Rattus norvegicus: one gene and its partners. The protein of the gene in region 1 binds, or shares a complex with, the protein of each later gene. Links are inferred from orthologs where the notes say so. Each region holds a gene or a part of one and is shown in the gene's direction. Other genes may lie near its edges.

Region 1 (3,950 bases):
AAATTTTACTTGCATAGTTAACATTATGGCAACAGACGTTGTTGTTTGTTGATAAACGTAGTCCACACACCAAAAAAAAAAAAAAAAGCTGTTTAGAATTGTCTAGTTTTTGAGTATTAAAGGATGCTGAAAACAAAATAAAACAAAGTAATTGCTGCTGTCCAGCATCTGGTGCTTCCACCCTATTGTTCGCCAACTATAATTGAACCTCCCTTGATCTGTCTTCTCAGCAGCTGCCTCAGAATCGCCCCCTGGCACTTAATAGTTCAGTAAATGCCTGTCTGTTTTAAAAATATGGACCTCTTCCCTTTTCGAGGTACATGAAACATCTAAGAGAAAAGTCCCGCTTTTCTTAGTAAGGCAGTAGGCTGTCTTACTAAGAAACAAGGAAATGGGGCCACATGGTTCATCTCCTATTTGTACAAGGGGATGTTTACAGTCAAGCTTCAAATTCCAGGCTGGAACACCTCTGACACGTTGCAGTAAGCCGCAGGCAAAAGCTACTCTCACCTACTGCAGTCTGAGGGTGGTACCAGAAGCATAAAAACGGGGTGAGATTTAGCTCAGTGGTAGAGCACTTGCCTAGCGAGCGCAAGGCCCTGGGTTCGGTCCCCAGATCCGGAAAAAAAACAAAAAACAAAAAAAAAAAAAAAACGGGGTGAGATTAGGAAGCGATGGCTTCTGCCCACTTTTCTTTCACTCCTTCTTCACTAGACGCCAAACAGTATATTAGGTGTTTGGGTTACTAAGGTGAACAAAAGCCGCGTGTACCCTAGGGCAAGCATTTAAAAATAAGTAAACCCTTGGCTTCTGCGCAGGGGCGGGGATTTGCGCGAAGGAGGCGCAAAGGTTTCGCGAAGCGGGAGAAACTTGTCCCACGGTCCCACCCACCTCCCCAAGATGGCGCCTGCCGCAAAGCCCAAACACAGCCAGCTCGTCTGGAAGAGTTCCGCGTCCTTTTTCAGGCAATCGCTGCGGCGAAATTCGTCCGGAGTGCAGAGGAGCCCAAGGTTCCCGAGGTGCCACGCATTTCTGCAGGTTGCGTCTCTAAGGCGAGTTACCATTAAGTATGGACACGCGGCGGCAGCCAGGCTTTGAAACCCCGCCCCTGTCCGCGCAAGCGTCGCGGACATATGACGCCACGTGGGCGTGTCGAGCGATCCTTACGTCGCCACGCGCGGACAATGGCGACCGCATCAGTCTGAGGCGGACTTCGTTCTCAAATAGTTGCCTGACGTGGCGGAGGAAGCTGTAGTGCCCCCGGAGCCAGCCGCGGCGGTAACCGCGCGCTTGCGCGCTTCCGCCTCGCCCTAGACCTAGCGGTGGCGTTGAGACCCCGCGGAGTCCGCCAGGTGGGTGGCGGCGACAGCGCTGGCAGTTTCTAGACGCATGCGTGCGCGAGTGGGGCGGGCAGGAGGGCGGAGTTGGGGTGGTACCGCTTAGACTTCCCAGGGTCTGCTGGGGCGCTGCGGGAGGCGGCCGGGGAGTTGCAGTGCACGTTCTGAGCTCTGCAGACCTCTCTTTCTCTGCTCTCTTCCAGCGCCCTTTTGGCCTCTTCACTTCTCTGACCGTTGTGTCCGGGACTACGTGAGAACCATGAGTGGCAGCAACTTGAGCGGGAACGATGAATTTGATGAGCAGTTGCGAATGCAAGAATTGTACGGAGACCCCAAGGAAGGTGACACCCAGAATGAGCCCTCTGGAGAAACTGATTCTTTGGGACAACCACCAGATGACACTCCCTACGAGTGGGACCTTGATAAGAAGGCTTGGTTCCCTAAGGTAAGAGAGTAGCTTGAGTCCCACTGTGGAGCGGGACATAGGGCTCCCTGACCACCTTTGCGGGACATCCCTCTTATGTTTGCTCCGCTGAAGTACTTGGTCTTTGAACTGGTGGTTGGTGGCTAGTCTGTTCAGTCTATTGCAGCCCCGATGTATAAAGAAAAGTAAATCTTAGAGTGGTGCCTTAAGTGTGTTTTTTTAATGTCTTATTAATTTGTGTATGTGTGTGTGTGTGTGTGTGTGTGTGTGTGTGTGTGAAGGTCACAGTTCATTTTTATCTGGATATTTTTACTGCAAAGAGGAAAAACACCAAGAAAAACACATTAATAAGAGTTTTATCCTGTATAACCAAACTTAACTTACGCTTCGTGTACATGCTTGTGCCTAATGTAGCTTGTTGATTTACCGGGTCAGAAAGCAGTCATTCAGCTCATTCTGCCGAATAAACTTTTCTTGATTCTTGTTTTGTTTTATTATTCTACTAAATTTTGTTCCAGGACATCTAAGTTTGGACCCTCTAAGCACAGGAGTATGACTAGGAATGCGCAGGAAATGGATGAAAGAGAACTCTACATTTGTTTCCGAGTACTTGGGAATTGCTAAGTGTTTAGTTTCAGCATGGAAATAACACAACTGGTGTTGAACCCGGTGTTATAAACTGTAGGGTGAAAGTACTCTGTTAGTTTTAGCCTCATGGGAACTTTGGCATCAAAGGGTACTAACAGCACACCAAGCGATTGGAGAGCCAATCACACACAACTTTTCTCCATTGTGCAGGGGGATTGATTGTTGGTTCCAAAATTCTTTATTTCAGCTATTCTTTCTGATTTTGTATTTGCGCATATTTCAAGCACCCCAAACTGTAAAAATTTACAATTGAACTTCTGGACTTGCAATGCCTTTTCGAATGTAGATGAGATTTCTTTCTGAGCACTTATAATAGTCTGACAAACTATTATTTGGTATCTGGGCACCCAAAAGTAGATACTGCAATAGATTGCTAGTGGACTTTGGGTTTTACCATCTTGTTATTCGATACTTCTTTTGTTTTATGTATTGGCCACTTTTGTTAAATATACTGTAAAGAAGTAGTAGTTTACAAGAATGTAGAAAAAAGTGGTAGCATCACTTAAAACTATGCGTGTGGTTTTGGCAATCTGAGCACCCTTGTCCTACTTTGATTGCACTACACGTTTTCCGTATAAGGTGACTGGTCTTGGATTATATTTTAATTAGTAGAACTACTTGTGGTATAAACACTTGTTTAAGTCTTAGCTTATATTGTTGAATGTAACACAGTTTCCACAAGTGAAGTCACCTTGTCCGTCCATGTGTTGACTTATTTATCTAGATCACCGAAGATTTCATTGCTTCGTATCAGGCCAACTACGGCTTTTCTGGTGATGGTGCACCCAGCTCTACTGGGAATGTCCAGGACGCCAACACTAAGACTGTAGAAGAGCCGCCACAGAAAGAAATCCCGGAAACCACTGACTCCAAAAAGAGGGGAGAAAAGAGAAAGGCTGAATCTGGCAAGTGGTTCTGTCTTTGCAAAGTCCGGGTTTAAAAATGAGATAGGAAAAATGAGTGAGTCCATTGTACATGTTGGAGGCAAGAATGATAATGTGAGTTTTCACTTTAAGATAGGGTTATAGTCATGAAGGATAGAAAGAACGCTAAAGGTAATTCTCAGTCAAAAGGTTTATGTCTTTTGGAAGATACGTAGGGATTTGAGTTAGGCGTAGTTGTCTGAGATAAAGAGGACATTCTAAAACTTTGAAGAAACTGCCTTTGCTAAGATTTCCTAATGTAATTCTTGTTGTTTGTTTCAAGTGTTTTATTTATTTCCCTTTGATTTTTAGGATGGTTCCATGTTGAAGAAGACAGAAATACAAATGTATATGTGTCAGGTATTTATCCTGTTGCAGTGCAGTTTTCACGTTGGTATCCTTTAGTGTTGAAACTGCGCTAAGTGAGTTTTAGTTTCGGTGTGTTTTGTTCACCTGCTTATGCTAGCTGGAATTTAATGAGGAGGGATTGAAGAAAAGTTATGCAGTGTTCCATGCTGTTTTGTATGCCTGCCTTAGAGAATTCACAGCAATTTGTTCCTTTACATTTAGTGAAACATACGCATAGCATAACTGATATTTTTAATATATAAAATGTGA
Region 2 (3,500 bases), on another chromosome or scaffold:
ATGCCTACATGGAGGAAGTGAAAGAAGAGGTAAAAAAGTTTAACATGAGGAGCGTGAAAGGCGGCGCAGGAAATGAGAAGGTACGTGGACGTCTGGCATTGGTCACTTGTCACTTAAAAGTTATTGGGCTCTTTACCTTAGGTGATCACAAAGAAGGAAGCTAGGCTGTAGTGAGGGGTGGGTGGTGCACAGCTCTAATCCTGGCACTAGGGAGGCCGAGGCAGGTGATTTCTGTGAGTTTCAGGCCAGCGCAGTCTGCATAGTGCGTTCTGAGTTCCAGGACAGTCAGGACTACATAGAGAGACTCCGTCTCACAAAAACAAAACAACCAAAAAAGAACTGGACTAAGCTGTTTTTATTGCAGTTATTTCCTAAGTGGTGGTGGTTGGGGGTGGGGTGAGATGGGAGGCATGAGCACAGCACAGTGTGCCTGGGACTGTGGGCGTCAGAAGGTAACTTGCAAAGGCAAGGGTATGCTCCTTTCTCCATTGTTAGTAAGTACCATTATCTGCTGAGCCGTCTGCCTGGTCGGAAAAAAAAATGCAGTCCCACGTCTAGAGACTTGACTAAGACAGTTAAGAGCTCTGACTGCTCTTCCAGAGGGTCCAGGTTTGATTCCCAGACCTCACATGGTAGCGCATGTGCGTGTGGTCCTTAGACATGGGCAAGGACATAAATTAGTACAGTTTTTTTTTCTTTTTCGGAGCTGGGGACCGAACCCAGGGCCTTGCGCTTGCTAGGCAAGCGCTCTACCACTGAGCTAAATCCCCAACCCCCTAGTACAGTTTTTTTTAAAAGGATGCTTTTTTGTTTTGTTTTGTGCCTGGAGGGTACTTGGGGAAAAAATTAAAAATTTCATTTAAGGCATCAAGGAAGTAAGGACCTCAGTGTATTTTATTGGTTGATTTAAGCTCCTCAGAACAGGGCTGGATTGTCTAATGAGTGAAACACAACATTTAGTAGAATTTAAAAAATATGTTAATGTTGAGGAATGAGCCCATTTCGTAGTGAAGTGTCTCATGTTGGGCCTGGAGACGCGGCGTAGGGGTTAAGAGAACTTGCTGCTGTTGGCAGCAAACCTAGGTTCAGTTCTCAGTACCAATATGGCGACTCACAATGGAAACTGACTTTTGGCTTCCTCAGGCATCAGGTACAAGTGTAGCGCACAGCACCCATACACATAAAAATACATTTTAAAAATGTTGTATACACATACGTATTCTGCAGTCAGTTCTGGGTACCTGAGTGTGTCTGAACTGTCATGCCGTCACATTGGGAAGTTCCCACAGGACAAAAGCACAGCTCTCTTGCTCCTTTAAAAACACAAATCATGGTAGTTTGAATTGCACATTGTGGGAATCTAACATTTTGTATCTAGTGTTCATGTATTTTTGAATCTCTTTATTTTTTGTTTAGCTTTTGCAAAATATTTTAATACTTTTTTTATTTTAGAAGTCCGGACCGACTGTCACGAAAGTGGTTACTGTGGTAACAACCAAGAAAGCAGTAGTAGATGCCGACAAGAAGAAGGGAGAGCTGATGGAGAATGACCAGGACGCCATGGAGGTGAGGCGGCCTTCCTTTTGCCTTGTATATGATCGTGTCCTGGGGACATTTCTAGCAAAGCTTTGCAGTCATAGACTCCTGTGGGGGTCCCTGCTGCTCTCAGTCTCAGCAGGGGTGTGGTGGGCGGGCGGGGTTGTGGGATATTCTGATCTGTCCTCTTGTATCCTTTTTCACTCCCTCCTCTTGATTGGCCCATGTTGGGCATAGAACACAGGAAAAGTAGTGAACGGCCACGTCTTCCAGTTGACTTGCACTCTAAAGGTCTGGCTAAGGGAAGAGTAGAACTTCCTGACAGAGTCGTGTGAGGCCAGTGCTACATTAAAGCTTTGAATAAGGAAAGAAATTGGGGGGTTGGGGATTTAGCTCAGTGGTAGAGAGCTTACCTAGGAAGCGCAAGGCCCTGGGTTAGGTCCCCAGCTCCGAAAAAAAGAACCAAAAAAAAAAAAAAGAAAGAAAGAAAGAAATTGGGCAGGAGAGATGACTCAGCGGTTAAGAGCACTGACTGCTCTTCCAGAGGTCCTGAGTTCAATTCCCAGCAACCACATGGTGGCTCACAACCATCTGTAATGAGATCTGATGCCCTCTTCTGGTGTGTCTGAAGACAGCTACAATGTACTCATATGTAATAAATAAGTAAATCTTTAAAAAGAAAGAAGGAAAGAAAGAAAGAAAGAAAGAAAGAGAGAAAGAAATTAACTTGAAAACTTTTTAAGGATTTATATACTCAAGTTCAAAATCATGGACATTCTTACCTGAGGACCTGAGGTTTTTAGATGATGCAGTTTCCAGGTTCCTGGAGTTGCACAGAAACCCTGCAGAATTAGATAGCACATAGTGGGATCACACACAGCGATGCACACAGTGGTTCCTAGGAGAGAGGAGAGCTTTGGCAACCAGGACTCTGACTTCCGGAAGATGAAATAAATAACAGACTTTACTTTTTATTCCTGAAAATTCAAGTACTCCTCGGAGGAGGAAGAGGTTGACCTTCAGACGGCCCTCACAGGCTACCAGACAAAACAGAGAAAGCTTCTAGAGCCAGTGGATCATGGGAAAATTGAGTATGAGCCATTCAGAAAAAACTTTTACGTTGAAGTTCCAGAATTAGCGAAAATGTCTCAAGAAGGTAAGAAGTTCTACAAGTTTTATTCCTTTATTGTGACCTCTGAGCAAACGGTCGCTTCAGCGGAGTGTAGGAGTGTGCACAGGCCTGGCTTGGCTTTGGAAGTGTTTTAAGAAGTGCAGAATGGAGTTAGTTCCATAGTTCTCTGGGTTAAAGTACCGTTCATGTCCAATTCCAACAGACTGTGCTGGCCCTGTTCATATGATTGACAGCTGTCAGTCTGCTGAGCACAATCCGGGCGACTTGGCTAGAACAGGGCTGTCAATCATTCTGTTGCAATTGAAGAAAATATTAAAACCAAAATGTTGAAATTGGGCACTTGCTGTTATCCTCATGTCTTGTGGCAGTGATTACCGTGTGCTGGGTGCTCTTGTATGGCTCTTGTATGTCTATTGGATAGCACTTAGGGGAGGTGAGGCCTCTGACCCTTGACAGACGGCCTAGTGAATGTGGCTAGATGGTACAAAGTGTAGGAGCTTCTGACTGGGCCTTTGTTTTCTAGAGGTGAATGTGTTTCGGTTGGAAATGGAGGGCATTACAGTTAAAGGAAAAGGTTGCCCCAAGCCAATTAAATCATGGGTCCAGTGTGGAATTTCCATGAAGATACTGAATTCCCTCAAAAAGTAAGTGTTGGTGGTTATCTGCACTTTTCAGTGTCCCTGCTACTCCGGGTAGTAGCCCTTCACACACATATCTCTCTGGATTTCAGTTATGTTTCTCTTTATGTGCCCTGGCTGTCCTGGAACTCACTATGTAAACCACGCTGGCCTTGAACTCACAGAGGCTCTTGCTTCTCCCTGCTAAGTGCCAT
Region 3 (4,271 bases), on another chromosome or scaffold:
ATGCTTTCATGGTTCCTTAGAGCGTTCCCTCACTGCTGAACAGTGTCCTCTGATAACACGTTTATCCATTCACCCATGAATTAGGTGTGTATGTATGTAAGAGTGGATGGCATGTGTACCAGGGTGCCCAGTCATTCCTTGGACCTGGAGATGCAAGTGGTTGTTAGCCACCTGACTCGCGTGCTGGGAACTGGATTCAGATCCTCCGGAAGAGCAGCGAATGCTCTTAACTGCCGAGCCATATCTCCAATCCCAATTAATGGACTCTTGGGTTACATGCAGTTTTGGTGAATTATGAATAACAGGAGCATATGGACAATGTTTTCATTTCTCTGCCTAGAGTAGGCATGTAGTAGAGTCCCTTTTCTTGTGTTGATGTTGAAACCTGTACCTTGGATTTCACACGCGTATGTGTCCATGCGTGTATCTGTGCGTGCGTGCATGCGTGTATATGTTGTTTTGAGATAGGGTCTTATCACATAGCTCAGGCTGAACTTGAACTTATTTTCCTCTTACCTCAGTCCCCTAAGTCTGGATCACGGGTGTGAGCCACTCGACCTTGCTCTAAAGCTGTTTTTCCCAATACATGCTAGACAGGCACTCTATACCAATTCACGCTTTGTCCCTATTCTGTTTGTTTGTTTGTTTGTTTGTTTGTTTGTTTGTTTGTTTGTGTTTATTTCCTGAGACCGGGTCTTTATGTCGCCCTGGCTGTCCTGGAACTCACTATGTAGATCAGACTGGCCTAGAACTCAGAGATCTTCCTGCCTCTGCCTCCTCCTCTTCCTCCTCTGTCAAAGAAAGTCAGCCTAGATTTCATTTTCTAAGCCATACAGTGGCCGGGTATGGTGGCTCAGACCTGTAATTCCAGCAAGTTTCTGCGAAAAGCAGAAAAATTAAGAATTACAGAGAATCAGAAGCCAACCTGTATCAAATAGCAAGCCTACCATTGCTTGAGTGTACTACATTTTTCTTAAAGACTCCTCTGCTAATAAACAAAGGTTGTGTTTTAGTATGAGTAAGTATGACTTTTGTTAAGAACAAAATCACCACCATCTGCATTTTACTGACAGACATACTAAAGTCCAGACAAGGGGAAAACATCACCAGAGGTCACACACTGAAAACTGGAGCTTCCAGGTCCCCTTTCCTGTCTGTATCCTTCAGTTTATCGGTTCAAATGTTAGTGTGTCCCAGCCGGCCCAGCTGTCTGCAGCAAGCCTCAGGCAAGCCAGCTGTCTCTCACCCTCAGCCTGCAGGATTCTTGCAGGCAACCTAGAGACATCTTTCATCGCTGAAGCATCGCGTTTTCAGACCTCCAGCCAGCAGGGGGCAGTGTAGCTACTGTCGCCGGTAGCATCGACTTGCTCTCTTTGTGGTGTTCATTTTTTCTTGAGTCCCCCAAGCCACTTCCGGGACACGCGGAACTTTGGTGCAGCCGGATACTGCGCTCAGAGACACGGGCGTGCAAGGCGGCAGGCAGTGTTTCCGGCAGTGTTAGCGGTCTGAATTGAAGTACCGCGGCCAAGAGAAAATGGAGACAATTTTAGAGCAGCAACGGCGCTATCATGAGGAGAAAGAACGGCTTATGGATGTTATGGCCAAAGAAATGCTCACTAAGAAGTCCACGGTGAGTGAACAGTGGTCGGGGTCGCATCAGTAGGAGGGCCTCGGCCCTCAGCGGAGCTCTCGGCGTTTTATTTGGTCTCAGACCCTCCCTGCGCCCCATCTTCATCTTCCTCCTAAGCTGTCTGGGCGCTCTGGCCTCCTTAACGTCTTCCGAGGGCCCAGCAGCCCTTCTGCTTCAGCCCCTGAGACCTAAACCAATAAGCTCATCCTTCGGGTGGCCTTTCCAACTCCTGAACTCAGAGTAACAACGTATGTGTTACCGTTTGCCTTTCTGCAGCTCCGGGACCAGATCAATTCCGATCACCGCACTAGGGCCATGCAAGATGTGAGTGCCCCGCTGTCTGCTTCCCTTTGGGTCTGGCTGGGCGGGAAAAGTGCTGGCAGGGAAGGTTTGGAGGCTCAGCGTGATTCCTGCCCCTGGGTTCTTAGTCAGATATCCTCTCTCTGCCTCTCAAAAGTGTGGGCGACTACTCTGGGTTCGGGCTGTGTTGTAAAAGTGGTGGAACTTTCAAGACTTTGTATCCCGTGAGGTTTCCTTGGGTCTTGCCAAGACTCCCTTTGTTGTTTACCTAGCCCCATTGTACAAATTTGCTCCATTCTGATGGCTTTGTGTTTGCGTTTCAGAGATACATGGAGGTCAGTGGGAACCTGAGGGATTTGTATGATGATAAGGATGGGTAAGTGACAGTCACATCCCTTCTAACAGTGCTTCAGGGGAGCCATGGTGAAATGATGGCCTTTGTGCTTTATGCACTTTGAATTTGCTGATATCTTGCAGATTACGAAAGGAGGAGCTCAATGCTATTTCAGGACCCAATGAGTTTGCTGAATTCTATAACAGACTGAAGCAGATAAAGGAATTTCATCGGAAGCACCCAAATGAGGTGAGGCTCCCAAAGTAGTTTCCCAAGACCTATCCTTAAAAAAAGGAAAGATGCGAGGAAAATGGTGGCATGCCATATAGATGTCTGTCCAAGAAAGAACGTGCCACTTCACTGCAGTGAGCACAGTTAGGCGACATCCTTCCTGGTGTTCCTCTGCAGTAAGAGAACACAGGAAGCACTAGAGCCTATTTCTTTCTGTCCAGTGAGAGATCGGGTGACCTTTGCACCAGAGTTCTTTATTGGTTTAGTTCCAATTTTGTCTCCCTCATAGTAGCTTTCCCCCTACCCAAACTTACTTTTTCCTTTTTATCTCTCTTAAGAATTTCTCCCACCCAATACAATGTGCTCCTAGCTCTGGCTTGAAATCTACCAACACAATTGTACTGTGCTCATTCCCAGAGTTCAGTGCACCTTCAGAACTCGTGTAAAATATCTCTTGTGGACTACCTCCTCCAAGGCAGTCCTTCCTTAGGATGCTGTATTTGTGGCAAGGAATCAGACGTCTGCCCAGTTATAAAGCAAGGGAAGCTGAGAACACTAAGTAGTGAGCTCCTCTGTACACTTAAGGTCAAAGCGAGCATTAGAAGCCCAGCCTTAAAGACTTGCAAGTATAATATGCATATGTATATACTGTAAATATGTGTGCTTATGATGAGATATAGTTCAGGCTTTTAAAGAAAAAATTCCTGACATTTGAGACAATATGTATATAAAAAAAAACCTGTCAAACATTTTATTTGTATTTTATGTTTGGTAGATTTAAAGAAATAGAACAAATTTGTTGAACGGTTTTTTTTTTAATACAGTATCTAGATGTACATGGACAACCAAATAGGAAACTCCACAAATTGATGTTTTAAGAGTGTTTTATAAACTGATGGTAAAGACTGTATGTTTGGATTTAAAAGAAGCCCAGTAGATGAATAGTTTCACACTAAATCTTGTAGATTAACCAATCAGTGAAAAAAAGCAGTCCAGCCCTGTACTACAAGCCTGAGACATTGCCAGACCCACCTGAGCTTTTCTCTCCCACCAGATCTGTGTGCCAATGTCGGTGGAATTCGAGGAGCTCCTGAAAGCTCGAGAGAATCCAAGTGAAGAGGCACAAAGTAAGTAATGGCTTGATGTTTCTTTCTAGGGAATCCAAATCCGTTCTGAGCTATATAGCTACGACCTATGTTTTTTTTCTTAACCTCTTTTTAAATTTTGTCTGTATGGCTGTTTTGCCTGCATGTATGTCTATATACCACGCGTGTGTGTGATGGCCTAAAGAAGCCAGGGGAAGGATCTACTCCTACTATAGTTACAAATGGCTAGCTATCGTGTAGGGATTAGGATTCAAACTCAGGACCTCTGCAAGAGCAGCCAGTGTTCCTAACTGCTGAACCCAAGAGCCTGTCTCTAAAAACATAAATAAAGGCTGATTGTGATGAGTATAAATTTAATCTCAGCCCTCAGGAGTCAGACAGTTCTCTGGATTAAATAAAGGCCAGACTTTCTTTTTTAATTGTATGGTGAGTTAATATCTTTTTTGTTGATATTTATTTATTCATTTATTTATATCTGCATTGGTGTTTTGCCTACATGTATGTATGTTTAAGGGCATCAGATCTCAGAGTTACAGACAGTTGTGAACTGCCATGTGGATGCTAAGAATTCATCTCAGGTCCTAATGAAGAGCAGTCATTGCTCCTAACCGCTGAGCTATGTCTCTAGCCCCATTATTTTGTTTATCTTGAGACAAAGTTTCTCTCTAGC
Region 4 (3,500 bases), on another chromosome or scaffold:
CCGAACCCAGGGCCTTGCGCTTCCTAGGTAAGCGCTCTACCACTGAGCTAAATCCCCAGCCCAGCTTTTTATTTTTTTAGACAGGGTCTCTACACAGTCCTGGTTGTTCTGTGATTTACTAGGTAGACAAGGTTGGCCTAGAACCTGCAGAGGTCCACCTGCCTCTGCTTCCCAAGTGCTCAGATTAAAGATAATGCATCACCTTTATTTAATAAAATTGGGGGTGTGTACCACATCTGATTCCTAGTCCTAGTGTTTGATTTGTTATATTCATTATTTTTGTTGGTTAAACTATCCCAGGCTGGCCTGAAACTCGTAGCCCAGGCTGAATTTAGACTGATAGCCATTCTTTTTGCCTAGTTACCCAGGTAGTGGAATTAGCAGAATAAGACATGACACTCTGCTCTGCTTCCCTTTTGACTTTGTATATGCTCTCTGATAAGTTGCTTAGCGTGATCTTAGCTTGTTCAGGCAGGACTGAGCTTTGGAGCCTCTTATCCTGGAGTACTGGTTGGGATTACACACTCATGCTCCAAGCTCAGTGAATTTAACTTCTAATCAAAGGAGTTTTTTGTTCTGATAAGGATATGAGATGGCTAATTCTTTTTGTCCTTGACAGCTTTAAAGTGTTTAGAACTTAGAGGTAATTAGTGGAAATTATGACTTGTAACAACCAAATGTGGCTTGAACATAGAAGAAGGTTGTTCAGGCAGAACTAAGGCATATGGTTTAAGCTTGTATAGATAGCTCCATAGCTCTACTAAATTATCCTTTTCTTTATTTAAAAAAAAATCTTGGGCTGGAGAGATGGCTCAGTGGTTAAGAGCACCCGACTACTCTTCCAGAGGTCCTGAGTTCAATTCCCAATTCCATGTGGTTACATGGTGGCTCACAACCATCTGTAAAGAGATCCGATGCCCTCTTCTGGTGTGTCTGAAGACAGCTACAGTGTACTTATATTTAATAAATGAATAAATCTTTAAAAAAAATCTTATTTATGGGCATGTGCACATGGAGCACAGGTAGAAGGTCAGGATAACTTGTAGGAATCAGTTCTTTCTTTCTATTGTGTGGGTTCTTAGGATTGAACTCAAATGATCATTAGGCTTGGTGGCCTGCCATTACCCTTTACACCCTGAGGAAGGAATCTTGCTAGTGCTCTAAGTTACCCCTTTTTCTTTTATGCTCATCTATTTTTTACACACATGCATGTGTGTGTGCATGGTGCATAGATATGTGAAGGGGACAGGTAGGGTCGTGCTCCAGGATGCTTCAGAGGACGGCTTTTGGAAGTTGTTTCTCTCCTTTCATTGTCTGGATCTCAGGGTTGAAGTGGAGTCGTTAGTCTTGCGATAAGCACCGTTATCCTCAGACCTCAACTGCCACTAAATTAATTGCCCCCTTTAAATGAGCTGATAGTGTTGAACTTAGACCATTAGAGTTTGAATATTAAAAGTTTACAGAAATGAATTCAGACGACTGTATGTAAATTGTCTACAAAAGTGCAAATTATATTATTATTCCTGGTGAAATTTGCCACTTTGGAATGTGTGTTTGCTCATAAAAAATAACTTTCTTTTCCATTGATTTTCCTCAGGCTGCCTTACGTCAGATTACTGATAAAGCTCGAGAATTTGGAGCTGGACCACTGTTTAACCAGATTCTGCCTCTATTGATGTCCCCTACACTTGAGGATCAAGAGCGACATTTACTTGTGAAAGTTATTGACAGAATATTGTATAAACTTGATGACTTGGTGCGGCCATATGTGCACAAGGTTGGTTTGTTCTCTAGTGTTGAATGGTTTCACTTTTATTTTTCTGGTTCTATTTTGCACTGTGTGGAATATGGAAGTTGTTATTCTCGTGTGTGTGTGTGTGTGTGTGTGTGTGTGTGTGTGTGTGTGTGTGTGTGTGTGTGTGTGTGTAGCCCTGGCTGACCTAGAACTTGTTCTGTAGTCCAGGTTGCCCTTTTGAACTCAGTTCCACCTGCCTCTGCCTCCTGAGTGCAGATTAAAGGAATGTGTCACTACTGCCAGAGAATTAAAACTCTTTAATCTATTTCTCCATTAACAAATGTCTTTGATAAATTGATGTGGAAATGTAATTCTTTCTTTTTCCTTCATTCAGATTCTTGTGGTTATCGAGCCACTGTTGATTGATGAAGATTACTATGCTAGAGTGGAAGGCCGAGAAATTATTTCTAATTTGGCAAAGGTATTCACATTAAATTCCTAGAAAAGGAAGTTTGTCTTTCCATGGGTTGAGGATTAATGGTACTAACTAAAGCTGCTGTTGTAACTTTTCCTTTTAGGCTGCTGGTCTGGCTACTATGATTTCTACCATGAGACCTGATATAGATAACATGGATGAATATGTCCGAAACACAACAGCTAGAGCTTTTGCTGTTGTAGCCTCTGCTCTGGGCATTCCTTCTTTATTGCCTTTCTTGAAAGCTGTGTGTAAAAGCAAGAAGTCTTGGCAAGCGAGGCACACTGGTATTAAGATTGTACAACAGATAGCCATTCTCATGGGCTGTGCTATCTTGCCACATCTCAGAAGTTTAGTTGAAATCATTGAGCATGGTAAGTGGTGATGTGTCGTTTATAGATCAGCTGTCCTGATAGGGGCAGGTGTATATGTAAAATAAATGAAAGGCTTTCCTCACACAAACATTATATTTAGAAATGGGGTTTGTAATATTTTCTGTTAACAAATTGCCTTTGTCTAAATTATATGTACTGCAAAATAAATTACTGCAGTTTGGATACATGGTTCCATACATTGCTAACATTTGGATTGCATTGTGAAAATGGTCTGGGTACCTATTCATAACCGTCTGATTGTATAGGTCTCGTGGATGAGCAGCAGAAAGTTCGGACCATCAGTGCTCTGGCCATTGCTGCTTTGGCTGAGGCAGCAACTCCTTATGGTATTGAGTCTTTTGATTCTGTGCTCAAGCCCCTATGGAAGGGTATTCGCCAACATAGAGGAAAGGTAATCTGCGCATTAGATCTGTTTCTGTTGCTAGTCATTAAGATAACCCAAAATTAATGTACTGATATGTGTATATGTATATATTTTACTTTTAAATAGGGTCTGGCTGCTTTCTTGAAGGCTATTGGGTATCTTATTCCTCTTATGGATGCAGAATATGCCAACTACTATACTAGAGAAGTGATGCTAATCCTTATTCGAGAATTCCAGTCTCCTGATGAAGAAATGAAGAAAATTGTTTTGAAGGTAAGGAATTAGTAGTTCAGTTTGTGGGCACATGTTTGTTAGCACACTGTGCATGTGTTAGGAAGTTCAAAGAGATCTTTATAACAAAACAAAACAAAACAAAACAAATCTATGTTTCACACTATAAAAGTTATTGCAGTTTGGATACATGGTTCAATACATTGCTAACATTTGGATTGCATTGTGAAAATGGTCTGGGTACCTACTCATAACTGAGTCTGATTGTGTAGGTCTCGTGGGTGAGCAGCAGTTGTGTTT
Region 5 (4,189 bases), on another chromosome or scaffold:
ACAGAGAAACCCCAGTCTTGAAAATAAAAACAGACAAACCTGAGAAAAAAAGAAAAAGAAAAAAGAAAAAGGAACTAGACCTGTGACAATCTCTCTTTGCACCTTCCTTTGCCTCTCCCCAGATAGGCTCTTCAGCTCTCACAATCTCTGGCCTTCAAGATGAGCTGTCTCATCTTCAGGAACTATTAAGAAAATGGACACCAAGAATATCTCCGGAGGACCACAGCAAGAAAAGAGATCCAAATACTATCCTTTCTCAGATCTGCTGAAACTGCTAGCCATCTCAAAGGCAGGGCAGAGGGCGGGGGTTTGTTTCTGCTGATGTTTATGTCTGACCTTGGTGCTTCGGGTTTGGTATTCCAGTCTGTAAAGCTCACTTAGTAGGCCAGTTTCTGTAGATGGTGCTACCAACCTCCAGCTCTCCTGTCTCGTTTGGTTCCTGGAGCTATTTTTGTTTCTTGTGATTTGAAAAATAAGAAACAAAACCAATTCAGAATGATTGCCTTTTTTCGAGGCAATTCTGTGCCATTTGGATGGTTGTCAAAAGTATGATATCAGAGACCCTTTTCATCAGCCCCAGCAAGGTGTCCTAGAGACCTCATTCTCAACCCCTCAACACTACATTGAAATCTTTTCTTAGTCTTCTGTGGGAATGAGGTGAATAAGGGAGACACCTCCTCCTCCCACTGTATATTTTTGTAGCAGCATTTCTATTTAAGGAGTTCATTAAAGCACAGTATTTCTACACATTGCTGGTATTTTCTTGTATTGAATGAAGATCTCAGCAAAGCGGTGGTGGTTGTGGGGTAGTGTGAACTGAGAAAAGGACACTTATTATTGTAAGGAAATAAAGGATTGGCAGGGCTGGGCAGAATGCACATGAAATATTGGGAAAGCCCCCCCGCCCCACACACACATACGCACACACACCTTTTTTGAGACAAGGTCTCTCTGTATATCAGGCTAGCCTGGAATTTTTTTTTTTTTTTTTCCGAGACAGATTTTTCTGTGAGGCCATGGCTGTCCTGGATCTCGTTCTGTAGACCTGGCTAGCCTTTAGCTCAGAGATCCACACCTGCCTCTTAAAGCTTCAATACCTGCCTGTGAGCACCCTCGGTCTCAAATTTCCCAAGATTGGAGGAGCTCTGACACTTACGGGAAACCAAAATACCTCGAGCTCAAGCCTAGGCCGAGGGCGAATCTGCACGAGCGTTGTGGACCGAATTAAAAATAGGCTGTTTTCAAAGGCAGTCCTGGCCCTGGATATGGCGGGACTTTGCCTAGCACACGTCTCTGCGTCACAGAACATACAAAGCTTGGTTTAGCATTTCAATTTGCGCTTGGGGTGCAGTGTGATGCCCTAACAGTCTGGAAGCATTCAGGGCTTTAGTTAACTGTATCAAGACCGGCTGATTCACTTCTGTTCCACCCCGATTGCTGCGGCAGCTCCAGAGCACCTTTCCCTTCTGTCCGACACGAATCTGACTCCTAAGATGGCCGCGATCGCTTCCGGCTCCTCCCTTGTCGCCGGCCCCGCCCAATGTGAGCCTTGGCCCGGAAGTGGAAGTAGAAACTGAGGTCAGGGGGGCGGTGCTGCTGCTTAGAGACGGCGGGAGCCCTTTCGCCATGGCTGCCGGACCGATCTCCGAACGGAATCAGGGTAATTGGGAGAAAAGAGACCAAGATAGGGGCAGGGAAGTGAAGAGCTGATTAATGCCAGAAGCATTTCTGCTTGGGTGGGAGACGAGATCCCTCTGATGTGAGACCGACCTCTGGGCGCCTGGCTCGCCTCGAGGCCAAGTGGAGGCCCAGGCCTATGAAGAGTGATGCTTCTAGATCCATTCTCTTTAAATACTCCTCTACCAAGAAGACAAAATTCTCCGGAAATACAGGATCAGCAAGAATGCCAAATTAGACGTAGCGGATTTTTCTAGACTGTGGAAGCTGAGGGAATTTCGGGTCTTTAGTTAACGTTTTTGGTTTTTATTTTACTTTTCACTCTTGACCCTCTCCTTACCTCCTGCTTCTTCCCTTTAGATGCCACGGTGTACGTGGGAGGTCTAGACGAGAAAGTGAGCGAGCCACTGCTATGGGAGCTCTTTCTCCAGGCAGGGCCAGTGGTCAACACCCACATGCCAAAGGATAGAGTCACTGGCCAGCACCAAGGTGAGTACATGTCGAGAATTAACCCTGTATAGCGTTAACGGCCCCTGAAGAGTCACAACTCCAGTCACAACTACTTTGGAATGAGCAACCTAAAGGTTCTTTTCCCCCTTAAGCTTCAGTTCAGTTTTTGGAATAGTTTCTCTTAGCACTAGTTACTGGAACCATTCTCAAGTGAAGTAAGATTATTCTTCTGTCATGTTCTTTTTATTGTTTTATTTTCAAGACAGTGGTTCTCTGTGTAGTCCTTGGCTGTCCTGGAACATGCTCTGTAGACCAGGCTGGCCTCAAACTCAGGGCTCCACCTCTGCTCCAGCATGGTGGCATTAGAAGCATGAGCCCCCACCCAGCCCTTACCTGCTTTGTTCTTTGTGTTTGCAAACTGGTGAGTTAATGTTTGATTTTGAATCTCTTCACCTGAGTGGTCTTTTTTCATTGGTTTCCTAGGCTATGGCTTTGTTGAATTCTTGAGTGAGGAAGATGCTGACTATGCCATTAAGATTATGAACATGATCAAACTCTATGGGAAGCCAATACGGGTGAACAAAGCCTCGGCTCACAACAAAAACCTGGATGTAGGAGCCAACATTTTCATTGGAAATCTGGACCCAGAAATTGATGAGAAGTTGCTTTACGATACTTTTAGCGCCTTTGGAGTCATCTTACAGACCCCCAAGATTATGCGGGACCCTGACACAGGCAACTCCAAGGGTTACGCCTTCATTAATTTTGCTTCATTTGATGCTTCAGATGCAGCAATTGAGGCCATGAATGGGCAGTACCTGTGTAACCGCCCTATCACTGTGTCTTATGCCTTCAAGAAGGACTCTAAGGGTGAACGACATGGCTCAGCAGCTGAACGACTTCTGGCAGCCCAGAACCCGCTGTCTCAGGCTGACCGCCCTCATCAGCTGTTTGCCGATGCACCCCCTCCACCCTCTGCCCCCAATCCTGTGGTTTCATCCCTGGGTTCTGGGCTTCCTCCACCAGGTACAGCTTGTAGTTCAGACTATGCCAGTGAGGCCCATGGGAGGGAGGTCAGGGGGCAGAGGAAGCCCTGGAAGAGTAAGCTGTGAAGTCAGTGGGCAGTGAGGGAGGAGTGAGGATGCTGGTGGGAGGGAAGAAGTTGGTGCATGTCCTTAGGAAGCTGGAGTGTAGCATGCTGGGAAAGACATTCTGTCCGATACCACTAATTGTCCTTCATTTCTTAAACAGGAATGCCACCTCCTGGTTCGTTCCCACCTCCAGTGCCACCTCCTGGGGCCCTTCCTCCTGGGATACCCCCAGCAATGCCCCCACCACCTATGCCACCTGGGGCTGGAGGACATGGTCCCCCAGCAGCAGGAACTCCAGGGGCTGGACATCCTGGTCATGGACATTCACATCCTCATCCATTCCCACCAGGTGGGATGCCCCATCCAGGTAAGTGCGCTGAGCTTGTAGAGGGGCCTTTGTACTGCTTCTCCCAGTGCTCTTTGTCTTGGGTGGAAATAGTCCAGAGTCCTTTTCTTCAGAAAACAAACAATACTTTGTACATGTTGGTGTGCTCCTGTGTTATCTCCACCTATAGCTTGTGCTTGGCAAAAGCTCTCAACCTCTCCTCTGCTTCCAAGGTTGCCAAATCTAGAAGACATTTCTGCTTTTGGTTTTTCGAGACAGGGTTTCTCTGTGTAAACCTTGCTGTTCTGGAACTCCCCCTGTAGACCAGGTTACCCTTAAACTCAGGGATCCTCCTGCCTCTGCCTCCCAAGTGCTGGGATTAAAGGCATATGTATTTTTAGATTTTCTAATGTCAACTTTAGCAACCTGGATCAATTCCTTTTTTATGTATGTGTAGATTTCGTGCTTGGTTCTCTTTTCTGTGTTTATCTGTAGTGTTAAATGTGAAGGTTATGATTTATTCTGGGTCTCTGTTCTGAGGTTCTTGGTAGACTAGAAAAGGCTGCTGCTCAACCCACAGTTTACTTTTCTCTTTCCAACACCATCTTCAATGGCTCTCACTTGTAGGAGCCCAGTCCACAACTCT
Region 6 (3,500 bases), on another chromosome or scaffold:
GTTGTGTTTTGCTCTGCACTCTGTCTTAGGTCCAAGCCCAGGTGATCCAAGAGACCATAGTACCGAAGGAGCCCCCTCCTGAGTTCGAGTTCATCGCTGACCCCCCCTCCATCTCAGCCTTCGACCTGGATGTAGTGAAGCTGACAGCTCAGTTTGTGGCCAGGAATGGGCGTCAGTTTCTGACCCAGCTGATGCAGAAAGAACAGCGCAACTACCAGTTTGACTTTCTCCGACCCCAGCACAGCCTCTTCAATTACTTCACAAAGCTGGTGGAGCAGTATACCAAGGTGCTGGGTTGGGTACAGGGTGCTGCAGCTTCCGCTCTCTGTCAACCAGGATACTTGCTTTGTGCGTCATCCGGGGAAATGTGAATCCCAGCTTGATCCAGAGTCTTGATTTAAAAAGTCTATATATTTATGTGTGTGAGGAGGAGGAAATGTACGACTGTGTAGGTGCTTTTGTGCCTTGCCATGGAGTGCACTTGGCATCAGAAAACAGCTTTCAGTTCTCCTTCCTTGAGGATCAAACTTAGGACATCAGGCTTGCATAGCAAGTGCTTTTACCCTGTCAACCATCTCCTTGGCTCTGAGTCTTTTCGTTTGTCGTTCTGTTTGAGACAGGATTTTCTTTGTGTAACAGCTCTGGCTGTCCTGGACTAGTTTTATAGACTAGGCTGGCCTCAAACTCAGAGAACCACCTGAGTGCTGGGATTAAGTATTGAGTTCGTTCGTTTCTTTCTTTCTCCCTCCCTCCCTCCTTCTTTCTTTCTTTCTTTCTTTCTTTCTTTCTTTCTTTCTTTCTCTCTTTCTTTCTTTCTTTCTCTCTTTCTTCCCTCCCTCCCTCCCTCCCTCCCTTCCTTCCTTCCTTCCTTCCTTCCTTCCTTCCTTCCTTCCTTCTAAGACAGGGTCTGACTGTGTAACCCTAACCCTGACTGACCCTTGAACTCAATATTTAAACCAATCTGGCCTCAAATTCAGAGATCTTTTGTCTGTGGGATCAAAGGTATGGGCCCCCACACCCAGCTTGTATTGTTATCTCTTTAAATACTTCTTGGTGTTGAAGAGATGTGTTTATAAATTGCTGTTATTAGGTGGCCATCTGCTGTGTGACAAGACTACATAGCCCTCTCTGCTTTTAGGTGTCCGTGCATTGCCACTTGTCTGCTACAGGGCCTGAGAAGCAAGCTCTTAACAGTTGCCTCCTGTTATCTAATTAAACCTCACAGAACTTTTAAAGTGGTGTTTCTCAACTTTTCACAAGCAGAAACAGGCTAAGAAAGATGATTTCATGGGGCTCTAATTACCCCTCAGTAGTAGAACACTTCTCTAGCATGCATAAGGTGCGGGATTCAGCACTGTGCTGGAGAAAAAAAGACCAAAAACGAATGTGGTGTGAAATCAGTCATGATATGTGCGGGTTCAAGCTTGTAAGCAGGGTCGCTGAGATTCGAGTCTTTGCGGTCTTGACCCTGTGGAGTAACTTCCATGAGGAAACGTTGAGTATGACTCTGCTATCACTGCAGCATCTTCCCAAAGGGCCTGATGCTGTTTAAGGCCGTTATCCTGCCTCTCAGTTATCCTGGCTGGAGCCACACAGGCTGCAGAGCTGGCCCTTTTTTATTACTCCTGACCCTAGGTTGCACTGCTGCAGTCATGAATCAACACAGCAAGCCGGGCATGGGGTGCATATCGTTAGTCTTAGCACTCGGTGGTGGTGGTGGTGGTGGTGGTGGTGGTGTTGGTGGTGTTTGCTTGTTTGTTTGTTTGTCAAAAGACTGGGGTCTCCTCATGTAGTGGGGTTTCATTTGAAACTCACTATGTAGACCAGGCTAGCCTTGAACTCACAGTCTGCCTGCCTCAACCTCCAGAGTGCTGAAATTTCATCACTCAGGAGAAGGGAGGATCGCTGAGTTCAAAGCTAGTTTGTGCTGCATTGTGAGTTCTAGAACAGCCTTGCCTACAGACTGAAACTGTTTTTTTACAAAAAGAATCTGATACAGTAATCTAATATTGAAAGTTAATCAGAGAGCTGGATATAGAAGCTAACACTTCTAATCCCAGCTCCAGGAAGGTTGAGGCATGAGGATTACTAGGAGTTCGAGACTTTACGCTTTAACAATAAAATGTTTGATATGCTACAAAGGCTATTCACCTGGTTTAGGTTTACCAGCGGCACATTTTTCTTGTTTTTCTTTTTAGTGGCATGGTCTACATCTACTGTTAATATTTAGAAACAGTGTTAGAGATCTAAGTTGAAAGGACTCATAAGGATTTGCTCTGAAGAATAAAGTTAGAAATATTTAAAAATGTGTCTTTAGAAAATGACCAAATCTAGAATCTAGTAGAGCAGTAGAACAATGACTGAAACCCTAAGCCACAGAAATCTGTAGGTATACAGTCTCAGGGGTTTGTGGATTTTTTAATTTTGTTTTATTTATTTCTATTTTATGTGTGTGACATGGGAGTGGAAAATGGTCATCAGATGCCCTGGGACTGGACTTAGCAGATGCTTGTGAGCCACCTCGAGGGTTCTGAGAATCACACACAGTCCTCTGAAGAACAGGCCCTTAGCTGCTGCTTATCTCTTTAGCCCATAGTATCAGTTCTAAGTCAGTTCTAAGTATGGTGTAGGTCCAATTCGAACTTCCATAGTTAGAAGTTCTCAGATATCTATTTTGTTATTTTTTTTGTTTTTTCCTCTAACTTTGGATATTGGTATTGACTCATAACATGAAGGCACTAGAGAAGGCTGTTCTAGATAGATTCTAGGGGTAGAAGTCCAAGGATGGGAAGGTAAAATTGTGCTGCTTTGTGAGTAGAAGTAGATATTGTGGGAGGATTGGAATGGCTGTTAGAATAAAGGCAGTCAGTGTTCTGTTCCTCGGGAAATGCACATTAGACATTATTTGTGGTTCTAATCACAAGAAGACAGGAATCTGTCTTGATGGAGATCCTTAGTGGGTAGGAGCATATAGGTTAGGAGCCTGTGTCGGATGGAGATAGGTACTCTGGGTAAAAGGCATGGAAATACTGGGAAGAAAGGGAAGAGGTAGCTGCAGTCCTGAACAGGACAGCAGGGCATACATCAGTGTCACTTAAGCAGCTAAAATAGCATGTTCTAGGAAACCTGCCTATGGCTTGAGTACTTGACTAGGAATCCTGGAAATGGCTTTCTCTAGAGGTACTTTCTTAAGTGGTGGCGTCAACATTTGGAGAAGGAAAAGCGCATTCTAGTTGTTATATAACTTGCCCCAAACCCTACATCTGGAATCCATCTCTTGTGTCCTTTGATGGGCCCAGGAAGACTGCCTCTTTGTCTTAAACTGTGTGAGATACATTGACAGTTGTTCTAATCCTCTTTCAGATCTTGATTCCACCCAAAGGCTTATTTGCAAAGCTCAAGAAAGAGGCTGAAAATCCCCGAGAAGTTTTGGACCAGGTAAACACAGGATTTCCTATTACAGAAACCAATGCATGGGTTCTCAATGTGTGGGTTTTGTT
Region 7 (4,268 bases), on another chromosome or scaffold:
TGTTTTATGTTGGAGGCCTACACAGTGGAAGATGAAATCCAACTACACAAGTTTTCCGCTGGCCTTTCTGGCATACTCACACCCAGAAACCCATGCGTGCACATGTACAAGAAGCAGAAAATAGGGGTACAGATGGAGAACCCCACTGGATGACAGAGGTAGACACGATGGACAAATCTCTACAAGGTACGCAGCAGAAAGACCTCTCCAGAGGTGAAGGCTGAGACAGGTGTCCTTCAAGGCCTCAAAGCCCTGCCCGCACACTCACTCCCACGGCAGAGACTGCTTCAGTTATACACACCAAGTTCACAGACTGCACCTCTCTCGGCCGTAAACCGGCAGAGGATCGGGGAAGAAACTAAGATGAGAACCTGACCCAGTGGTCACTCTGAGTGACAGCTGGGACAGTCATGGGCCACCAGCGGACGCGAGATCCAGGACAAATGGAGATTCCTAAGGGAGTAAAAAGGATCGCGTGCGCGGAGCAGAGTCCGGGGTGGAAAGTGGGGAACAGAACACTTACTGATGGAGAAGCCTCCCGGCTCTTCCTGGGCCACTCTGCAGCGCTCCAGCAACAGGGCTCCGAGGGGCTGCGCGAGACACGGCCATGAGCACCGGCCTCTGGGCCGCGCGGGTCCCCCGCGCCCCCCACACCCCTACCTCGGCCTCGTCCGGGCGGAAGTAAAAGAGGAAGTTGACCACCAGCTTCACCAGCCGCCTCTTGGCCACTGCAGGCAGAGGGCGGTGTCAGCGCGCAACTGCTGTCATCCGCCCACCGGGGAACCCCGCGGCCCGCCCAAGTGTCCCAGCCCCGGCCCGGACCAGCTCACCGCTGCCCTTCTTGGGGCCCCGCATGCCCAGCTCGGCCGCCATCTCTGCCGGCTGCCGGGACAGCGCTTGCAACTCTTTCTCGTTGTACCGCATCTCGCCGCCCGGATCCGCGCGAACCAAAACGCGCCCTGCCTCTCGGCCGCCGTCCTGCCCGAAGCCGCTACTAGCGCCACAAAAGTCTCAGGAAGCGACCTCGTAAGTCCCAACGGTGCTACTGCGCCTGCGCGTTGTTGGGCGTGTTGCGTGACGCTAGTTGGTGGGTCAGCACAGTAGAACAAGGAGTCGGACGGGAAGGAAATCGCCCGTCCTTAAATAACCGTCAGACACACTGAACGTGGGGTGTAAATTTAGACTCATAGCACCTCACGATACGCGAAGCTCGTTCCCGGGCCTGTGAACCCTGAGGTTTAAGTCCTGTCGCGATAGTCAGCGCCAACAGAGTTAGGGCGGAGCAAGAATTCGTAGACAATGCAGTGCGCACGCGTACTCCGTGTCCCGGCGCTCTTTTTTTTTTCTCCCGCCTCCCGTAGGGGGAGTCCATTCGCTGGGCATGCGCACACATGAAACTCCGCCTTCCTTGCCCCCGGAAGTGATTGCTCAAGCGGTCGTGCGCATGCGCACAACAAAATCGCGGCATTCGGGGAGGTTAAGCCCAGTTACCGAGGCCTTGGTGTTGGTAAGGAACTACGCGGTTTGTCGGTGGCGGCTGCCCCGTCTGTGGGTCTTGAAAGTAGGAGCGAGAGCGTGGGGCCTGGCGGGGCAGCGGCCGCCCTTTCCCCTTAGGCGTGGCGCACCCTCGCCCTAAGAGCGCGGTCTCGCGAGGTCCTTTGAGTCGTGGCGTGATCGCGGACTTTTGTGGCGGTTCCGTGGCCTCTAGGGTGGTTCGGGTTCTTGGAATGTCATTTAACCTGCTTGTTTGCCTCAGTTTCCCTCGCCGTTAGTCAGGGCCATGGCGACTACTGCTCCTGTCCACTGTAGTAGGTCTGTTGCTCGGATTAAAAGATAACGGTATATGCATTTAAAAGTGATTTGCGGGGTTGGGGATTTAGCTCAGTGGTAGAGCGCTTGCCTAGCAAGCGCAAGGCCCTGAGTTCGGTCCCCAGCTCCGAAAAATAGAAAAAAGAAAAAAAAAGTGATTTGCCTTTAGACCAGGCAGGCCTTCTCCCAGACCGTGACCTTAACATATACTACTCTTCTGTTTCTATTGATCGTTCATCGGTAATCTTAGAGTAGTCCGTGAGGTCGCACGGCTCCCAACCATTCATCCTGGTCTCTTGTCCCAGGCTTCACTTGTGAGTCCATCCAGTCATCGGCACAATTTTACTTTATTTCAGACAGCGTCTCACGGCATAACTGAGGCTGACCTGGAACCCTGTGTGGACTAGGCCGATTTCGAGCTCACATACACTCCCATACCTCTGCCTCCCGCATACTGAGATTTACAGCGTGTGCCACTACACTTGACTGTTTTGTTTTAAGGAAGGTTTATTTTGACTGATAGTATGAAGGTGCAGTCCACTATGGTGGTCGTGTTACAGCCATAGTCAGGAAGCAGATAAAAGCTGGTATTGGAATCCCTTTCCCGTGTTTTTAAAGATTTTTTTTCCAAATGTGTGTCCATGTGGAGCTTCATGTGTGAGTATGATAACGTCAAGTCCAGGAGAGACTGTCAGGTTCCCTGGAGCTGGAGTTTCTGGTGGTTGTGATCTGCCACTAAGTCATCTTGCCAGCCTACCCAGCACCCTTTTGTCTTTTATTTGAGACAGATCTCACTGCACAGCCCAGTTTGGTCTCAAATTATACCCATCATCTTTCTACCTTGGCCTCTAAGGGAGCTGGAAGGAAATGTATACACTGCCATGCCCCATGTTTTCTGTTTCCTGAGGTTGGGAACTGTTGGTGGGCTGAGGCGGTAGTTCATTGGTGAGCGTTTGCAAAACTTTGTGCTCCATCCACTGGGCCAAGCAGTATGCTCACCCAGGCCAGTTTTATTCTGCTTTCCTTCCAAAGCTGATGAACTACATTTCTGCAGTGGATATCCATGCACTCAACCTCAAGCATGCCCCCCCAGGGGACCCAGTGCATGCTGGACAAGTGTTCTCCTTGAGTGGCACCGTCAAGTCTGTGGATGGACACCCAGCCTCCCTGGGGAGGCCAGCCACAGAGTCCTATGTTCTCAAGAGTTGTCTTTGCCTGAGCCTGGAGTGGTTTTCCATCCTGCTGCTGCTGCTTGTGGGTGCCCCTAACTCTGAGAAGCCAATTGATTCTCCCACCGTTTGGCTGTACTCTCGTGTCTGGCCAGCTTCATCTCTGGGAGTGTGTCTGTTGGTAGCTCTGGATGATGTAGACGATGCCCTTCTCAGTCTTTGGCTGAGTACAAAACATCTAATAGGCTGCTCCTGTCCCGCCACTTCAGTGTACACCTCTCAAGCCGTCCCTCTCAGCACCTAGAGCATCCTGTATCCTTTGCCTTCTGGCCTCTTCCTCCTTGACAGCCAGTGCTGTCAGTGGCCTGTCAGCCTTGAGCACACTCTAGTGACATTGTAGTAACTGGGTACCTGCCCTCAAGGTTCTTGGTCACATTTGTAGAGCCCCTTGTGCTATGGGAGGCACCAGTGATGATGACAAGAGCTGTCTCTACTTGTCTCCTGGTCGCTGGCCCTGGGTTTACTGTAGGTTTACCAGTAGACTGAGTAGTCTTAAGTGTTCTGCCTCAGGTAACACTGTCTGGAGGCTTTGGCTGAGCCTCCAAGGTGAGACCCTTGGTATCGAGCATTCCTTGTGTCAGGCAGAGGAGGGTGTGTCCTCTAATGCCAGCAGAGGTAGGCAGAGGCCAGCCTAATGTGTGAGGAGAGTTCTAAGATAGCCATGACTACGTAGAGACTCCTCCCTCAATAATAACAACAACAATAATAGTAATCATATGTTACATCAGGGAGAGGCGGCTCAATGGTAGTCACAGCACTTGGGAGGATCAGGAGGTCAGAGAAGGGATGGCTTGCATGCTGGGCCATCCCGCGGTCCTAGCATCATCAGCAGGGTTCTAAGCCTTAGTCTTCCTTGCTCCCCAGGTTTCTCCTGTCCCCTAAAGTACCCAGGCCTGCATCATGGACTTTCAGCACCGACCTGGAGGCAAAACTGGGAGTGGGGGCGTGGCCTCCTCCTCAGAGAGCAACCGGGATCGAAGAGAGCGCCTGCGGCAACTGGCCCTGGAAACCATCGACATCAATAAGGTGGGGGAGGGAGAGTCTCCAGGCCTGCAGAGCCCTCACCTTGCCCACCTTGGTCCTTGGGTCCCGGGGCCAGGCTGTGCGGTCTCACGGTACATTTCTTCACTCCCAGGACCCGTATTTCATGAAGAACCACCTGGGATCCTATGAGTGCAAACTCTGCTTGACTCTGCATAACAATGAGGTACCTGCCCACCAGACTTCCAC

What was found.
Region 2: Htatsf1 (region 1) and Ddx46 share a complex: the UniProt entries of both Homo sapiens proteins name them as parts of the 17S U2 SnRNP complex. The link is inferred for Rattus norvegicus from reciprocal best matches to the Homo sapiens genes HTATSF1 and DDX46.
Region 3: Htatsf1 (region 1) and Sf3a3 share a complex: the UniProt entries of both Homo sapiens proteins name them as parts of the 17S U2 SnRNP complex. The link is inferred for Rattus norvegicus from reciprocal best matches to the Homo sapiens genes HTATSF1 and SF3A3.
Region 4: Htatsf1 (region 1) and Sf3b1 share a complex: the UniProt entries of both Homo sapiens proteins name them as parts of the 17S U2 SnRNP complex. The link is inferred for Rattus norvegicus from reciprocal best matches to the Homo sapiens genes HTATSF1 and SF3B1.
Region 5: Htatsf1 (region 1) and Sf3b4 share a complex: the UniProt entries of both Homo sapiens proteins name them as parts of the 17S U2 SnRNP complex. The link is inferred for Rattus norvegicus from reciprocal best matches to the Homo sapiens genes HTATSF1 and SF3B4.
Region 6: Htatsf1 (region 1) and Sf3a1 share a complex: the UniProt entries of both Homo sapiens proteins name them as parts of the 17S U2 SnRNP complex. The link is inferred for Rattus norvegicus from reciprocal best matches to the Homo sapiens genes HTATSF1 and SF3A1.
Region 7: Htatsf1 (region 1) and Sf3a2 share a complex: the UniProt entries of both Homo sapiens proteins name them as parts of the 17S U2 SnRNP complex. The link is inferred for Rattus norvegicus from reciprocal best matches to the Homo sapiens genes HTATSF1 and SF3A2.

What each region holds. Positions count from the first base shown.
Region 1 is NC_086039.1:139,971,592-139,975,541, forward strand, and holds the start of Htatsf1 (HIV Tat-specific factor 1), read left to right. Parts: upstream 1-1,150; 5' UTR 1,151-1,352; intron 1,353-1,369; exon of another isoform or gene 1,370-1,540; 5' UTR 1,541-1,596; coding exon 1,597-1,782; intron 1,783-3,133; coding exon 3,134-3,314; intron 3,315-3,644; coding exon 3,645-3,692; intron 3,693-3,950. UniProt on the Homo sapiens protein: Component of the 17S U2 SnRNP complex of the spliceosome, a large ribonucleoprotein complex that removes introns from transcribed pre-mRNAs.
Region 2 is NC_086035.1:8,976,604-8,980,103, reverse strand, and holds part of Ddx46 (probable ATP-dependent RNA helicase DDX46), read left to right. Parts: coding exon 1-80; intron 81-1,452; coding exon 1,453-1,566; intron 1,567-2,526; coding exon 2,527-2,692; intron 2,693-3,191; coding exon 3,192-3,312; intron 3,313-3,500. UniProt on the Homo sapiens protein: Component of the 17S U2 SnRNP complex of the spliceosome, a large ribonucleoprotein complex that removes introns from transcribed pre-mRNAs.
Region 3 is NC_086023.1:142,250,936-142,255,206, forward strand, and holds the start of Sf3a3 (splicing factor 3A subunit 3), read left to right. Parts: upstream 1-1,471; 5' UTR 1,472-1,534; coding exon 1,535-1,630; intron 1,631-1,906; coding exon 1,907-1,954; intron 1,955-2,253; coding exon 2,254-2,306; intron 2,307-2,407; coding exon 2,408-2,513; intron 2,514-3,549; coding exon 3,550-3,622; intron 3,623-4,271. UniProt on the Homo sapiens protein: Component of the 17S U2 SnRNP complex of the spliceosome, a large ribonucleoprotein complex that removes introns from transcribed pre-mRNAs.
Region 4 is NC_086027.1:63,999,220-64,002,719, reverse strand, and holds part of Sf3b1 (splicing factor 3B subunit 1), read left to right. Parts: intron 1-1,597; coding exon 1,598-1,777; intron 1,778-2,129; coding exon 2,130-2,216; intron 2,217-2,313; coding exon 2,314-2,584; intron 2,585-2,850; coding exon 2,851-2,996; intron 2,997-3,095; coding exon 3,096-3,242; intron 3,243-3,500. UniProt on the Homo sapiens protein: Component of the 17S U2 SnRNP complex of the spliceosome, a large ribonucleoprotein complex that removes introns from transcribed pre-mRNAs.
Region 5 is NC_086020.1:186,420,278-186,424,466, forward strand, and holds the start of Sf3b4 (splicing factor 3B subunit 4), read left to right. Parts: upstream 1-1,389; 5' UTR 1,390-1,626; coding exon 1,627-1,660; intron 1,661-2,037; coding exon 2,038-2,166; intron 2,167-2,610; coding exon 2,611-3,153; intron 3,154-3,378; coding exon 3,379-3,585; intron 3,586-4,189. Other genes in the region: Mtmr11 (myotubularin-related protein 11), read left to right, coding at 123-269. UniProt on the Homo sapiens protein: Component of the 17S U2 SnRNP complex of the spliceosome, a large ribonucleoprotein complex that removes introns from transcribed pre-mRNAs.
Region 6 is NC_086032.1:83,261,471-83,264,970, forward strand, and holds part of Sf3a1 (splicing factor 3A subunit 1), read left to right. Parts: intron 1-29; coding exon 30-287; intron 288-3,363; coding exon 3,364-3,438; intron 3,439-3,500. UniProt on the Homo sapiens protein: Component of the 17S U2 SnRNP complex of the spliceosome, a large ribonucleoprotein complex that removes introns from transcribed pre-mRNAs.
Region 7 is NC_086025.1:9,563,400-9,567,667, reverse strand, and holds the start of Sf3a2 (splicing factor 3A subunit 2), read left to right. Parts: upstream 1-1,468; 5' UTR 1,469-1,507; intron 1,508-3,902; 5' UTR 3,903-3,938; coding exon 3,939-4,064; intron 4,065-4,173; coding exon 4,174-4,245; intron 4,246-4,268. Other genes in the region: Plekhj1 (pleckstrin homology domain-containing family J member 1), read right to left, coding at 524-590, 831-1,080, 1,194-1,372. UniProt on the Homo sapiens protein: Component of the 17S U2 SnRNP complex of the spliceosome, a large ribonucleoprotein complex that removes introns from transcribed pre-mRNAs.